Macaca mulatta: one gene and its partners. The protein of the gene in region 2 purifies or fractionates together with the protein of the main gene of each other region. This does not show direct contact. Links are inferred from orthologs where the notes say so. Each region holds a gene or a part of one and is shown on either strand. Other genes may lie near its edges.

Region 1 (4,731 bases), on a different chromosome or scaffold from region 2:
AAAAACTAACCGGGCGAGGTAGTGGGTGCCTGCAATCCCAGCTACTCGAGAGGCTGAGGCAGGAGAATGGCGTAAATCTGGGAGGCGGAGCCTGCAGTGAGCTGAGATCCGGCCACTGCACTCCAGGCTGGGCAACAGAACGAGACTCCGTCTCAAAAAAAAAAAAAAGTGTCCAGTGCTGAGCCCTATAATCCTGGGCTATTCATAGAGCGTTTGGACATCAGTATCCTAGTGATAAAGCTGGGCCTGGATGATTCCCTCTAGATCATACCATCCAAGCCTATTACTATATTAACATAGCATGTACTCAGATGCTTATCTACTTCAAAGAGATTCCTTTATGGATACTCTGATTATCAGTGGTAACACATACGGAGTAGGCATTAGGAACAAAGTTAGTTGACTATTCACCAAGAATTTTAAACTTCACATTTCCACTGAATAATGCTCACCTGAAGTATTTTGTAGTCCCACTGGATGACAGCTGTTTTTTCATTTTTTTGTTAAAGTTTATAAAAAGGAAGAGTTTTGGGAGGTCTACCTCCATTTCTTGTATTACATAGAAAGCAAAGTGTAGGGTAGGAAGGGAGACAGTAGATTGGGGGTCTTAATAGTGAAGGCAGGAATAACATTCGTGGAAAATGAGAGGAGCAGATCAAACAGAATAATTGTGATGCCATGTTGAGGGCCCATTTGAGGTTGGAGAACATTCCTATGTAGACGCAGCAATCTGTAGTCTTTTTATTTTTTTTCCTGAAGTTCTCAGTAGTTAAGATACAGGTCTAAAAAGGTCAATACACTGAGAATTTAGGTTTTGCTCATTGATATGGAATAAGGTCAAGAAAGCTAAAAAGATTGTCAAGAGAATGATGAGGTTTGTGGTCTGATAGGAAAGGAACTATAAGTAGAAAGGGGTTGTGGGGCAAGAGAGGGGATGTTGTGTATTTCATTTTTTACTTAGATTTATTTCTATCAAATACAGGCCATACAGGAACTAATGAAAATCCACGGACAAGATCCTGTTTCATTTCAAGATGTCAAGGTTATCTTTTCCTTTAATTTACATATTACCAGATAATTGTGAGATAGTCATTTGTATTACATGAAATTTTATATGAAAGCAAGTAATGAAGTACTATTTGAATCAAGTATTTGCTTTTTGTTCTGAACTGATATTTAAATCATTACGAACTGAGACCACATTTGGACTATTTATATAGTTTATAATTTTAGTATTGTCATCACTATGTTCTCATTGGAGGCATTCATTCATTTTAATTGAAAATTAAGACAGTCAGGGGGCCGGGCGCAGTGGCTCACGCTTGTAATCCCAGCACTTTGGGAGGTCAAGGCGGGCGGATCACCCGAGGTCAGGAGTTCAAGACCAGCCTGGTCAACACGGTGAAATCCCGTCTCTACTAAAAATACAAAAATTAGCTGGGTGTGGTGGTGCATGCATGTAATCCTGGCTACTCGGAAGGCTGAGGCAGGAGAATCGTTTGAGCCCGGGAGGTGGAGGTTGCAGTGAGCTGAGATCGCGCCACTGCACTCCAGCCTGGGCAACAAGAGTAAAACTCCGACTCAAAAAAAAAAAAAGAAAATTAAGACAGTCAGTACAGTCTACATCCTACGGCAGTCTATTCAACTGTAAACTGAATTTTTACCTTGGAAACTGTTTAGGTTCAGGCACTTTTTTTTAGTATGCTACCTCAAAGAGCCTGTTCACCTGAGTAATTTTACTACAAATTTTATTTTACTACAAATTTTGTAGTAATTTTACTACAAAAAGATTAGAAAACATGTACTAATTCCCTGTAAATATCTGTTGTACACTTCATAATATAGAAGGAGGTCTTCTATATGTTCCAGTAAGTTTTAGCAGCATTTAGCTTCTTTTTGGATATCTAATGCATATCCAGAAAGAACTCCTCTCCTATCCTAATAAAATGTTGACATCAATATTGGAAATGAAGCTTTGTCACTATCTCTGAACCATTTAGATGTTTAATTGAGTTGAACCATTAGCAAAAAAAATTAAACCAAACCCTTGTTAGCCGAGTGTGGTGGTACGCAGCTGTAATCCCAGCTACTCGGGAGGCCGAGGCAGGAGAATGGCTTGAACCTGGGAGGCAAAGGTTGCAGTGAGCCAAAATCACACTACTGCACTCCAGCCTGGGTGACAGAGGGACACTCCATCTCACACAAAAAAAGAAGGGGCTGGGCACGGTGGCTTACGTCTGTAATCCCAGCACTTTGGAAGGCCAAAGCAGGTGGATCACCTGAGGTCAGGAGTTTGAGGACAGCCTGACCAGTATGGAGAAACCCCGTCTCTACTAAAAATACAAAAATTGGCCGGATGTGGTGGTGTATGCCTGTAATCCCAGCTACTTGGGAGGCTGAGGCAGGAGAATCGCTTGAACCCAGGAGGCAGAGGCTGCGGTAAGCCGAGATCACGCCATTGCACTCCAGCCTGGGCAACAAGAGTGAAACTCTGTCTCAAAAAAAAAAACAAGGCTGGGTGCAGTGGCTCACGCGTATAATTCCGGCACTTTGGGAGGCCAAGGCGGGCAGATTACTTAAGGTCAGGAGCTTGAGACCAGACTGGCCAATATGGTGAAACCCCATCTCTACTAAAAATACAAAAATTAGCTGGGTGTGGTGGTGTGCACCTCTAGTCCCAGCTACTCGGGAGGCTGAGGCAGAAGAATTGCTTGAACCCCGGAGGCGGAGGTTGCAGTAAGCCGAGATTGCTCTACTGCACTCCAGCCTGGATGACAGAGCGAGACTCCATCTCAAAAACAAAACAAAACAACAAAAACTACAGACAAAACCTTGTTTCACCACCAATTAGAAAGGCAATAGAAAAATATGTAAGAAATTAGTTAACATGCAGTCCCTGAACACTGCATTAAATAGTTCTGCCACTAATTACCTATGTAGCTGGATTAGATGCTGAGCCTTGGTTTCTTCATCTACAAAATGAAGGACAGCTATCACATAGCTAAGGAGTTATCCAATAAAATTGTGTGATTGTAGGTAGAGAAAAGGAAACTGCCTGTTAAATGGAAAAGAAAAAAAGTAGAACAAAAAATTAACATAAGCCCAAGTGGCAGCCCTCAATTTTATTCCTCCATACTTCAGTGGATGCAGACAGCCCTGAATTTTGGATCACGACGTGTGATAGAAATTAAGTGGATCAAATTTCATTGTATTTTTTTTCTCTTGCAGGATGAAATCTTTGACATGGTAAAACCAAAGGATCCTTTGAAAATCTCTCTTCAGGATTTAATCAACAGTAATCAAGGAGACACAGTAACCACCATTCTAATCGATTTGAATGGCTTCTGGACTTATGAGAACAGAGAAGCTCTTGTTGCAAATGACAGTGAAAACTCTACAGACCTTGATGATACATGATCTCTGAAAGACTAGACTGTCTTATATTAAGAGATACTTGAATGCTGCATGTAAAGCCTTTAAAGCAAAATCCTCAGAATGGTCTAAATAAAACACTTGATATGCCTAGAGAACACAGCAAATGTTTTGGTTACTGGAATTCTGGTTGCAATAGTTTAGAAGCAATAGGACCAAATATTGCTTGTTAGGAGGTAGGGTAAGTTCTGGTTCCTTTTAGTTCAAAGATGGGAAGTGTGATTTGCTGTAGATAGATGATGTTCAGTTTAAACATGTATAATCTTCAGAGATGAAGTTTCCATGGAATATTTCTGACAGTCATTTAGAATGTGAATATTTGACTGACAGTGTATATATATACACACACATAGATTTTATATATGTGTATATATATAAAATCTCAAAGATTACAAACTTTCCCATTCATTAGAGTAGAGCCATTTTATTTCTGGGTTAGGATTAGGATTTTTTTTTTTTTAGGGGGTTCAAGTGATTCTCCTGCCTCAGCCTCCTGAGTAGCTGGGATTATAGGCGCCTGCCAACACACCTGGCTCATTTTTGTATTTTAGCAGAGCCAGGGTTTCACCATGTTAGCCAGGCTGGTCTCGAACTCCTGACCTGAACTGATCTGCCTGCCTCGGCCTCGGCCTCCCAAAGTGCTGGGATTACAGATGTGAGCCATGGCACCCAGCCTTTTTGTTTTTCGTTTTTTGTTTTTTTTTTCCTTGAGACAGTCTCCCTCTGTTGTCCAGGCTGGAGTGCAGTGGCATGATCTCTGCTCACTGCAGCCTCCACCTCCCAGCTTCAGGCAATTCTCCTGACTCAGTCTCCTGAGTAGCTGGGACTTCAGGTGTGCACCACCATGCCTGGCTAATTTTTGTATTTTTAGTAGAGATGGGGTCTCGCCATGTTGGCCAGGCTAGTCTCGAACTCCTGACCTCAGGTGATCCACCCGCCTCAGCCTCCCACAGTGCTGAGATTATAGCCACCATGATATGTGAGCCATGCCCAGCCTTGTTCTTTCTTTTAATTGGATGTTTTAATAAAATGTATTCAAACTAGTGTTTTACTTTCATGAAAATCATTGGTATAAAAAATTTGTCGGCCGGGCACGGTGGCTCATGCCTGTAATCCCAACACTTTGGGAGGCCGAGGTGGGCAGACCACGAGGTCAGGAGATCGAGACTATCCTGAATAACACGGTGAAACCCCGTCTCTACTAAAAATACAAAAAATTAGCTGGGCATGGTGGTGGGCGCCTGTAGTCCCAGCTGCTCGGGAGGCTGAGGCAGGAGAATGGCATGAACCCAGGAGGCG
Region 2 (5,588 bases):
GCCCCCAGCCCAACATCCCAAGCAGCCTGACACCAAGACAGGCACGCGTAGCTAAAAAGATCCCTAGCCTCAGAGGCCTTGGGGCTGAGGGGAATCCTGGGAATGTGGAGGGCTGGGACTGAAATATTCAACCCCCATCCCCACTTTTATGAGCAGTAGTTTCCTAACTGGAGTGGGTAAGGGTATCTGAAATAGATGCTGGGCCAGGCACGGTTGCTCACACCTGTAATCCCAGCACTTTGGGAAGCCAAGGCAGGCAGATCACCCTGAGGTCCAGAGTTTGAGACCAGCCTGGCCCAAAGTAGTGAAATCCCGTCTCTACTAAAAATACCAAAATTAGCCGGGCGTTGTGGTGGGCGCCTGTAATCCCAGGTACTCGGGAGTTTGTGGCAGGAGAATTGCTTGAACACGGGAGGCAGAGGCAGCAGTGTGCCAAGATCCGGCCACTGCATTCTAGCCTGGGCGACAGAGCGAGCCTCCGTCTCAAAAAAAAAAAAAAAAAAAAAAAAGAAGAAGAAGAAGGAGAAAAGAAAGAAAGAAAAAGAAAGAAGGAAAGAAAAAATAGATGCTGTGGGTATTCAGAGCTGCCAGAGTGCTAGCTCAGCCCAGCACTTCAAGTAGTAGAATAAAGGAAGAGAGAGCATCCCAGGCCTTACCATCCCCATCCAACTCCCTCAGAGTGGTCCTAAGATTGCGGTGGGGGTGGGGCTTTGTTGAAGAGGTTAAAAACAGAGATTAGTCAGATCCAATCCTGCTCCCACTCTATGGAGGAAACAGATTCGAATGCATAGTCACAGCCCAGGCTCTGGGATTGAGACACATAGATGGGATTGGAGAGACAGAGAGAGAGGTTCTGGTGGCTCTGGAAGCCTAGAGAACAAGAGCATTTACGCAGAGATCTGAGAAGTGAATAAGAAAGGCAGAACGTACAGCTTGGGCAAGGAGGCTTGCTGGCACGAAAACGCAAGATGTGCTCAGGCAGCTCTGATTTTCCAGGACATCAGACAAAAGGTAAAAAACGGAGGCGGGAGACGCGCCTAGACAAGGTATTGAATACCGGCCCGAGGAACTTGGGTTTCATCCAAAGAGCAAGGCAACTGAGCTCAACACAGTGACTCCGTCTCCACAAAAATTCTTTAAAAAACTGGCCGGGCCTAGCGGCGCGAGCCTATAATCCCAGCTATTTCTGCAGACTGAGGCCTGAGGATCGTTTGAGCCCGGGGAGGTCCAGGCGGCAGTGAGCCAAGATCGCGCCACTGCACTCCAGCATGGGGAACAGAGCGAGACCCTGTCTTTAAAAAGGCAAAAAAAAAAAGAAAGAAAAAGAAAAAGAGAGACAGCAGGGCAAGCCGCTCCCTTCTCTGGGCCTTGGCATAAATCAAACACAAATAAAAGTCTCACTCCCTCCTCCGGCCGCGCAAAGGCGCGGGGAGCCAGCCTGCCAGCCAGCGGAACCATGGCCTGGTAACCCAAAACCTGCACACCCTCCCGCTCCCCACATGACGTCACGTATTACCACTTACGCACGCGCAGAAACCATCCCCGGGACCCACCAAAGGTCAGGCTTAGCGTCCTCCCCATATCGCCCCTCATTGGCTAGAAACAACTGCTCGTCCCGGTCGTTGTTAGCAGCGACGAAGGCGGGTTCAATCTTGGTCGCTAGGACACGGCTGACTTCCGCTTTTCTTCCCCCTCCCCTAGGCTCAAACTAGTCAAATCTCGTTCACTCGACCAATGGCAAATGGGAAGTGGGCGGGACTTCACTAGTCCGGACCAAAGAAACGCGGGTTTAGGCCGGCGTAGCGCGGCCAATGGCCGTGGAGCAGCCCCTGTAAACTGGTTCGGGCGCCCCCACGCGTGCTTTTCCTCCTCCTCCCAGCTCTGCCCCCCCGTTTCAGCAGAGCGCTGGCCGCAGTCTGACAGGAACGGGACAGAGCCAAGATGGCGGCGGCCGACGGCGACGACTCGCTGTACCCCATCGCTGTGCTCATAGACGAACTCCGCAACGAGGACGTTCAGGTACGGAGGCTACGGGGGACTTGGGGAAGACGGGGAGGGGTACCTGGGGGCATGGGCAGCCCTCGCGGAGAAGACTCAGCGTTCGCTGGGAGTGGCGGAAGGGGCGGCGGCCAATCAACGTGCGTCTCTTATCTCCCCGGGTGCCCGGACTCATTGAGACGGCGCCCTCGATTGGGTGTTGGCCCAGTGAAGGGCGGGGGCCTGCGCTAGCCTCGAGGGTCCCGGGCCTGCTCAGTGCGCGCGGCGGTCCGCGGTCCGCGATCCGCGGTCCTGGGAGGTTGCGGCCAGGGCTGGGGTCGGCGGACTGGGTCCGGGAGAGAGGAGGGCTCCGTGATTGGCGGCGGCCTCTGAATGGCCCCTTGGAGATGTGGGGCGCTCGTGACTTGCTCCGAGTGGGGGAGAGCCGCCTGATGGGTCAGGACCTGGGAAGGTTTTTTTCTTTTCTGGGTTTCGACTGCTGGCCCAAGTGGGGACCGAGAGGCGAAGGCCTGCCATCCCAATTCCTGCTCTTTCTCCACGTCTCATTTTGGTTTAGGTGTCCTGAGAGGACGGGGACGCAAAAACACCCCCCCCCCCACCAAAGGTGGGGACTAGCCAAATTGAAGAACGAATTACGTTGTAGAAACCCGCTTCCCCATCTCCCCAGATCCTCCCATTGATCAGGATAGGGGGTGAAGGATTTGCTAAGTGGATGAACATTTCATTCTTTCTTTCTTTGAGACAGCCCCTGTGTCGCCCAGGCTGGGGTGCAGTGGCGCGATCTTGGCTCAGTGCAACCTCTGCGTCCCGGGTTCAAACGATCCTCGCATCTCAGCCCCCTAAGTAGCTCAGATTACCGGCGCGAGCCACCATGCCCATCTAATTTTTGTGTTTTTAGTAGAGACGGGTTTCGCCATGTTGGCCAGGCTTGGTCTGGAACTCCTGACCTCAAGCGATCCACCCGCCTCGGCCTCCCAAAGTGTTGGAATTACAGGCGTGAGCCACGGCGCCCAGCCCGGATGAACATTCCTGGTTATGGGATGCGGTGGCCCAAGGCTCTGAGCAGGGCTGCCACCCGCTGTGTGACCTTGTGCAAATTACTTCACCGCTTTGGGCCTCCGTGTTCCATAAAATATGGGCTAATTGTAGTCCTGGTCTTGCTGGAGGGACTTGTGAGGGACTGAACGAATTATGGCACAAATAAAAAGTCGAATGGTGTCAGACCTGTTGTAAGGGCCTGATACATATTAACTGTGATTATTGGGAGTGGTGATTAAAGAGGTCCTATCCTCCCTTTAGGTCTCAGTTTTCGCATTTATAAAATTGAACAAGGTGCACTGGGTAACCTGCCAAACGTGGGTCCCGCCTCCTAGGTTCCTGGTATATCACTGTTTCTGGGGGCAGACCGGCTGTGGTTGTATTCCTGGCCCTTCCACTTCTCACTGATTGACATGCGCAAGTTAGTTAATCTCTCTAAGCCTATTTCCTCTTCTCTTTTATGGGGATAATTACCTAGTTCGTAGGGCAGTTGTATGAATTCTTTTGTTCAGTAAACACGTGCCATGTATCAGGTATGATGCTGGGGATATAGTGGAGACACCAGTTGCTATACAGGATTCAGGTGTGAAACAGGTCAACAGAGTGTGTGAAAAGTGATGGGAAGGAAACAAACAGGATGTTGTGGCAGTGAATCCATATTGAATTGGCCTTCTATTCTGTGCAGGTCACTGTTATAAGCACTGGCATGCAGTAGGGGAGTTTACTTTGCAGTGAGGAGAGATAATAAACAGAGTATACTGGAGATAAGCAGTAGGGAGATAAATAAAAATAAGAGAGATGGGGGATGCAGGGGTTTTTTTTGTTTGTTTTTGAGACGGAGTTTCACTCTTGTTGCCCAGGCTGGAGTGCAGTGGCGTGATCTTGTCTCACTGCAACCTCTGCCTCCCGGGTTCAAACGATTCTCCTGCCTCGGCCTCCCAAGTAGCTGGGATTACAGGCATGTGCCACCACTCCCAACTAATTTTGTATTTTTAGTAGAGATGGGGTTTCTCCGTGTTGGTCAGGCTGGTCTCAAATTCCCGACCTCAGGTAATCCACCCACCTTGACCTCCCAAAGTGCTGGGATTACAGGCATGTAATCCCACTGTGCCCGGCCTGGGGGATGCAGTTTTAAAGTGTGGTGAGGGGAGGCCTTGTTGAGATCAAGTTTGAGAACACACCTAAAGGCAGAGGGCACAGCAAGTACAAAGTGGGGTGGGGCAGATCCATTTTAAGTAGGCCAATCAGGCAAGGCCCCTCTGAGGATGCAGAATTTAAGAAGAGATGGAAAGAAGGTGGGAAAGAGCTGCCCAGGAAGAGGGAACAGATATGGCCATAGTTTTTTGTTGTTGTTGTTTTGTTTTGTTTTTTGAGATGGAGTCTCACTCTGTTGCCCAGGCTGGAGTGCACTGACGTGATCTCGGCTCACTGCAACCTCTGTCTCCCGGGTTCAAGCAATTCTCCCACCTCAGTCTCCTGAGTAGCTGGGACTACAGGCCCAGGCCACCACCCCTGGCTAATTTTTGGGTGTGTGTTTTTAGAAGAGACTGGGTTTCCCCGTGTTGGCCAGGCTGGTCTCAGACTCCTGATCTCAGGTGATCCTCCTGCCTCAGCCTCCCACAGTGCTGGAATTACAGGTGTGAGCCACTGTGCCCAGCCAGTTTGTTTTTTTTTAACTCCAGGATCACTTCCTTCAGCTGTCTATCATTCCATCCTTCCATCCATCCATCCATCCACTAACCAGCAAACATTTGTAGGGAGTTGTTTTTGTGCCAGGATCAGAGCTAGGCAGCTTACCGGTTTATTCTAAAGGATATTACAAAGGATACAGATGAAGACACACATGGGGTGAGGTTTGGGGGAAGATGTGTGGTGCTTCCATGTCCTCCCTGGGCATTCCACCTTCTAGGAGCCACTAGGTGTTCATCTGTCTGGAAGCTCCTATGGACTACTTTTGTGCTACAGCCCAGAGTTGCGTAGTTGTAACAGAGATGGTCTGGCCCTCAAAGCTTAAAATATTTGCTTTCTAGCCCGTTGCAGGGAAAAAATTGCCAACCTCTGACTTAAACCATCTGAATAACAAATTACTGGGTGCTTGCTCAATGCTAGGTACAGTGCAGAGGAATAACACTGACAATCTTATTGAATTCTCATAATCACTCTTTGAAGTAGGTCCTGTCCTTGTCCACACTTTCCAGATGAGGAAACTGAAGCACCATAAATAACGTGGCCAAAGCTGTGTAGCTGAGAAGTGGAGGAGTCAGGAAAGGAAGTAGGACCTAAGGGTGGAATAGAGTCTGGGGTGGGACACACGGTTGCTGATTATATTCATATGCCAGATATTTTAGTTGTGTCTGAGATAGTTCAGGATACTAGAAGGAACACAGGATATGAAATCCTATAGTCTTGATTTATTTATTCGGCAAATATTTATCAACACCTCCTATGTGCCAGACTCTATTTTAGATACTAGACGTACAGTAGGGAATAAAGCTGCCCTTCCGGGGTTTACATTCTGATATGGAAGACAGTAGATCTGTAATGGGATGTCA
Region 3 (5,112 bases), on a different chromosome or scaffold from region 2:
ATGTTCAGAGATTAGGTTTTGTTAGTCTGCCAAGAGTGGTTTTATCTCTCATGGGAAGAAGATAATTAGCCAAACCCCTATCACGGATGTGTAAACCAAGTTTATTTTTCTATTGAATGAAGTAGAATTGGTCCAGAATGCTTGTGGTGGGGTGACCATCGCCCTCTTTTTCTATAGGAAAACTATGCGGGAAGCCAAATAATTAAAGGAAACTTGGATAGTAAGGACTCAGAGGAAGGAAGGAACGTTAGTTGGCTGATTCAGATGTTTGGTGGCATAAGAGTAGTCTAAACAAGCAGTAATGAGAGCCTCAAGGGAGTGAGGATGGATTGATAGTGTAGGATTTAAGACATAAGGTAGAATTTGGTTCCTTAGTGAGTTCATATTTGGATGTGTGGAGTATAAAAGTTGGATGGGACATCCATGAAGAGAATTCCAGCCATAGGTAGTTATAAAGGTCTGGAGATCAGGAGAAATCAGAGCTAAGGGTAGGTTATTCAGAGCCATCAGTATTTAGGGAGTATGGGGCTACCCAGAAAGAGTGAGTGGATTGAAATGGAGGCCAATGATTTCAGACCAAAGTAAAGAGAAGTGTGTGCTTTGATTTTTACAGGTGGAGGGAAAAACCCATATTTGGTATTTGAGCCTGTGAAAATAGTACTGTGGGCTCCCAGCATGCTTTGCTGGGTTTGATGCTATTCTAAATGTTTTTATGCCGTCAGTCTGTGATTCTCCTTTCAGACTTGGGGTAGGAGGGTGCCTAGTCAGATTATAGCCAGAGCAGCTGACAGAGGTCAAGATTCATTGTTCGGCAAAGATTCAAGAAGTTAAAAACCACACACAAGTATTTTACTGGGCATCCTTATCCAACCACCCTATCTTCACTTTGAAAATAGTTTAAACATTGCCTGAGAGGACACAGAGCTAATAGACTTTTGGAATTCTTCTTTGCAGGCCTGTAAATTGCTCTCTGATGACTATGAACAAGTGCGCAGTGCTGCAGTCCAGCTTATCTGGGTTGTCAGTCAGCTCTATCCTGAAAGGTCAGTGTGGGTGTAAGCTGACTTTTGTTGATTGTGAAGCCATTTTCCTCTCCTCTCACCGTGCAGAAAGCCCACTTCTAGAAAAGAAATGTTGGTTAGATTTTTGGAAGGCAATGGGGAGTAAGGGGCTGAAAATCAGATTGCCTGGTCCTCATTTTTCATCTCTGATAGGAACTTTCTGTACACCCTTAGAAAGATACTTCACTTCTTTGGTCCTAACCTTGTCATCTATAAGTGAAGAAATTGGAATATCTTTCTTAAATGGTTTTCAGTACTTTACAAAAAAATCTTTAAAATTGTTTGGGACCCATTTTAGTTTGGTTTGTGCCAAATGCCAGATAAAGATACCAGATGAGTTTGAGAATAGTGATCTCTTATGTACTGTTTTCCTGGTTAAAAACATTTTCACAGCAATTAAATTATTATTTTCACAGTGCTTCTTTGAGGAGGTAGGCAATATTATTATATTGTATAAAATAGAATATTTTCTTTATATTTCTTTATATTTTATTTATAAATATTTATAGAATATTTTATTTTTCCTCGTATAGGAAAAAGAGGTGTTTTTTCCTCTTCATTAAACTGCCAAAATTTGAAAACCAGAATGAATTAATAAACCTGTAGGAGTAGGCTCCATTTGTAGTGTTTTAGGACTTAGACACATACAAAGAAAAGGGCTAACTGGAAATTGTCTCTTTTTTTAGGACTGGATTGACGAGTAAGTTTTATCTTGATTTATTCTGAGATTTACTGTATTTATAGAAGTTCAGTCAGGGCACGGTGGTGCCTGTAATCCCAGCACTTTGGAAGGCCGAGGTGAGTGGATCACCTGAGGTCAGGAGTTCGAGACCAGCCTGGCCAACATGGTGAAATCTCGTCTCTACTAAAAATAAAAATATTAGCCAAGCATGGTGGTACATGCCTGTAATCCCAACTACTAGGGAGGCTGAGGCAGGAGAATTGCTTGGACCCTGGACGTGGAGATTGCACTGAGCCGAGATCATACCACTGTACTCCAACCTGGGTGACAGAGCAAGACACTCTCTCTAAAAAAAAAAAAGAAGTTCAGTTATAGGAGATAATAAGCTTAAGGATATGAAATATTCGGTGGAAGCTAGTTTTTGATAATTTCATAAATCTTTGAACCTTTGGTGGGTTACATGTTTTCTTTTTTTTTTTTTTAAAGGCAGAGTCTTGCCCTGTGGCCCAGGCTGGAGTGCAGTGATGTAATCTCAACTTATTGCAACCTCCATCTCCTGGGTTGAAGCAGTTCTCGTGCCTGAGCCTCCCAAATAGCTGGAATTACAGGTGCACACCACCACACCTGGCTCATTTTTTGTATTTTTAGTAGAGATGAGGTTTTGTCATGTTGGCTAGGCTTGTCTCAAGCTCCTGGCTTCAGGTAATCTGCCTGCCTCAGTATCTCAATGTGCTGGGATTACAGGTGTGAACCACCACACCTGGCTGACCCTTTGGTGGGTTACACACTTTTATTCAGTATATTGAAAATTTGCACCTGGGTGCAGTGGCTCACCCCTGTAATCCCAGCACTTTGGGAGGCCGAGGCGGGTGGATTGCTTGATCTCAGGAGTTTGAGGTCAATCTGGGCAACATGGTGAACCATTTCTACTAAAAATGTACAAAATTAGCTGGGTGTGGTGGCATGCTTTTGTAGTCCCAGCTACTCAGGAGAGTAAACTGGGAGGACCACCTGGGAAGTTGACACTGTGGTGATCAGTGATCATGCCACTGCACTCCAGCCTGGGTGACAGAAGTGAGACCCTCTCTCAAAAAAAAAAAAAAAAAAAGCATAATTTGCAACGCAACTGAAAGAGTTGGTTTTTACTCCCAGCGTGATTTGTTTATTCTGAACTGTATTTAATCATTCTAGGATTTGAACTATTCAGTTATCATTTTCGTGTGTGTCAGTCTTCATTGACTGTTCTCAGTTTATTGAGCCTGCAGCCTTGCTTACTTATGTATTTATTTGTTTATTATTATTATTTTTTGCGATGGAGTCTCGCTCTGTTATCCAGTCTGGAGTGCAGTGGCACTATCTTGGATCACTGTAACCTCCACCTTCCAGGTTCAAGTGATTCTTCTGCCTCAGCCTCCTGAGTAGCTGGGATTACAGGCGTGTGTCACCACACCCGACTAATTTTTATATTTTTAGTAGAGAGGGGGTTTCGCCATGTTGGCCAGGCTGGTCTCGAACTCATGACCTCAAGTTATGCACCTGCCTCAGACTCCAAAAGTGCTGGGATTACAGGCATGAGCAACTGTGCCCAGACTGTATTTATTTTTTGAGACAGGGTCTTGCTCTGTCACCCAGGCTGGAGTGCCGTGGTGTAATCTCAGCTCACTTCTACTTTCACCTCCAGAGCTAAAGTTATCTTCCCACTTTAGCCTCCCAAGTAGCTGGGACTATTGGCGCATGCCACCATGCCTAGCTAATTTTTGTATTTTTTTTGTAGAGATGAGGTTTTGCCATGTTGCTCAGGCTGGTCTTAAACTCTTGGGCTCAAGCAATCTACCTGCATGGGCCTCCCAAAGTGCTGGATTATAGATGTGAGCCACTGTGCCTGGCCTGAGCCTGCAAACTTAGGATCATGTTTTGTTCTAAGTGATTTCATTTATTTTCTTTTAATTTAGCATTGTCCCAATTCCTTCTTCTAATGAAGAAATACGCTTAGTTGATGATGCGTTTGGAAAAATTTGTCACATGGTCAGTGATGGCTCTTGGGTGGTTCGTGTTCAGGCAGCAAAACTGTTGGTAAGTTATACTTTTTGTGTATGTATGTATGCATGTATGTATTTATTTATTTTCTTTTATGTAGAAATAGGGCCTTTGTGGCCCAGGTTGGTCTCAAACTCTTGGCCTCAAGCAATCCTCCTGCCTCAGCCTCCCAAAAGACTGGGCTTATAGGCCAGGTGTGGTGGCTTACACCTGTAATTCCAGCACTTTGGAAGGCCAAGGCGGGCAGATCATGAGGTCAGGAGATTGAGATCATCCTGACCAACATGGTGAAATCCCGTCCCCACTAAAAATGCAAAAATTAGCTGGGCATGGTGGTGCACTCCTGTAATCCCAGCTACTCGGGAGGCTGAGGCAGGAGAATCGCTTGAATCTGGGAGGCAGACGTTGCAGTGAGCCGAGATCACGCCACTGCACTCCAGCCTGGCGTCAAGGGGGAAGACTCTCGTCTCAAAAAAAAAAAAAAAAAAAAAAAAAAAAAAGACTGGGATTATAGATGTGAGCCATTACACCCGGTCAATAATCCTTTTTTTAAATGGACACATTGCTCGTTAAGTTTTTACAAACATTTTGAGAAACTACAGATGGGGCAGTGTGACCTGAATTTAAAACCCCAGAATTTCTTTTTCTTTTTCTTTTCTTGAGACAGGGTCTTACTCTGTTGCTCAGGCAGGAGTGCAGTGGTGCAGTCACGGCTCACTGCAGCTTTGACCTGCCAGGCTCAAGCGATCCCTCCACCTGAGCCTCCTGAGTAGCTGGGACTACAGGCATGTGCCACCCTGCCTGGCTAATTTTGTATTTTTTGTAGAGATGGGGTCTTCCTTTGTGCCCAGGCTGGTCTTGAATTCCTAGGCTCAAGTGATCCTTCTGCTTTGGCCTCCCAAATTGTTGGGATTACAGGTTTAAGCCACTATTCCCAGTCCCAGAATTTCTTAATATAGAAAGAAATAGTTCACTCTCCTGTAGAGAAATAGCCTTTTAGAACTAGAAAGAATCTTAAAACATAATTCTATTAACCCTATTAGGAACCGAGATAGCCAGAGCCTAGAGAAAAAGGAAAATAATTTAAAAAAAAGTTTTTCCCATTTATTAAGCACTTGTTATGTCCTAGTTCAGGAGGCTCAAACCCCTGGGCTGTGGACTAGTCCTGGTCCATGGCTTGTTAGGAACCAGGCCACACAGCAGGAGGTGAGTGGTGGGAGAGCAAGCATTACTGCCTGAGCTCTGCCTACTGTCAGATCAGCAGCTGCATTAGATTATCATAGGGGTGTGAACCCTATTGTGAACTGAGCATGTGCGGGATCTAGGTTTCAT

What was found.
Region 1: the proteins of PPP2R1A (region 2) and PPP2R3C purify together in Homo sapiens (co-immunoprecipitation; 3 studies listed by BioGRID and IntAct, with this or other methods). This does not show direct contact. The link is inferred for Macaca mulatta from reciprocal best matches to the Homo sapiens genes PPP2R1A and PPP2R3C.
Region 3: the proteins of PPP2R1A (region 2) and INTS4 purify together in Homo sapiens (affinity purification with mass spectrometry; 3 studies listed by BioGRID and IntAct, with this or other methods). This does not show direct contact. The link is inferred for Macaca mulatta from reciprocal best matches to the Homo sapiens genes PPP2R1A and INTS4.

What each region holds. Positions count from the first base shown.
Region 1 is NC_133412.1:108,204,443-108,209,173, reverse strand, and holds the end of PPP2R3C (serine/threonine-protein phosphatase 2A regulatory subunit B'' subunit gamma), read left to right. Parts: intron 1-982; coding exon 983-1,042; intron 1,043-3,228; coding exon 3,229-3,417; 3' UTR 3,418-3,534; downstream 3,535-4,731. UniProt on the Homo sapiens protein: May regulate MCM3AP phosphorylation through phosphatase recruitment. May act as a negative regulator of ABCB1 expression and function through the dephosphorylation of ABCB1 by TFPI2/PPP2R3C complex.
Region 2 is NC_133424.1:64,383,972-64,389,559, forward strand, and holds the start of PPP2R1A (serine/threonine-protein phosphatase 2A 65 kDa regulatory subunit A alpha isoform), read left to right. Parts: upstream 1-1,866; 5' UTR 1,867-1,941; coding exon 1,942-2,019; intron 2,020-2,031; exon of another isoform or gene 2,032-4,132; intron 4,133-5,588. UniProt on the Homo sapiens protein: The PR65 subunit of protein phosphatase 2A serves as a scaffolding molecule to coordinate the assembly of the catalytic subunit and a variable regulatory B subunit.
Region 3 is NC_133419.1:78,376,219-78,381,330, reverse strand, and holds part of INTS4 (integrator complex subunit 4), read left to right. Parts: intron 1-954; coding exon 955-1,043; intron 1,044-2,198; exon of another isoform or gene 2,199-2,367; intron 2,368-3,695; coding exon 3,696-3,816; intron 3,817-4,576; exon of another isoform or gene 4,577-5,112. UniProt on the Homo sapiens protein: Component of the integrator complex, a multiprotein complex that terminates RNA polymerase II (Pol II) transcription in the promoter-proximal region of genes.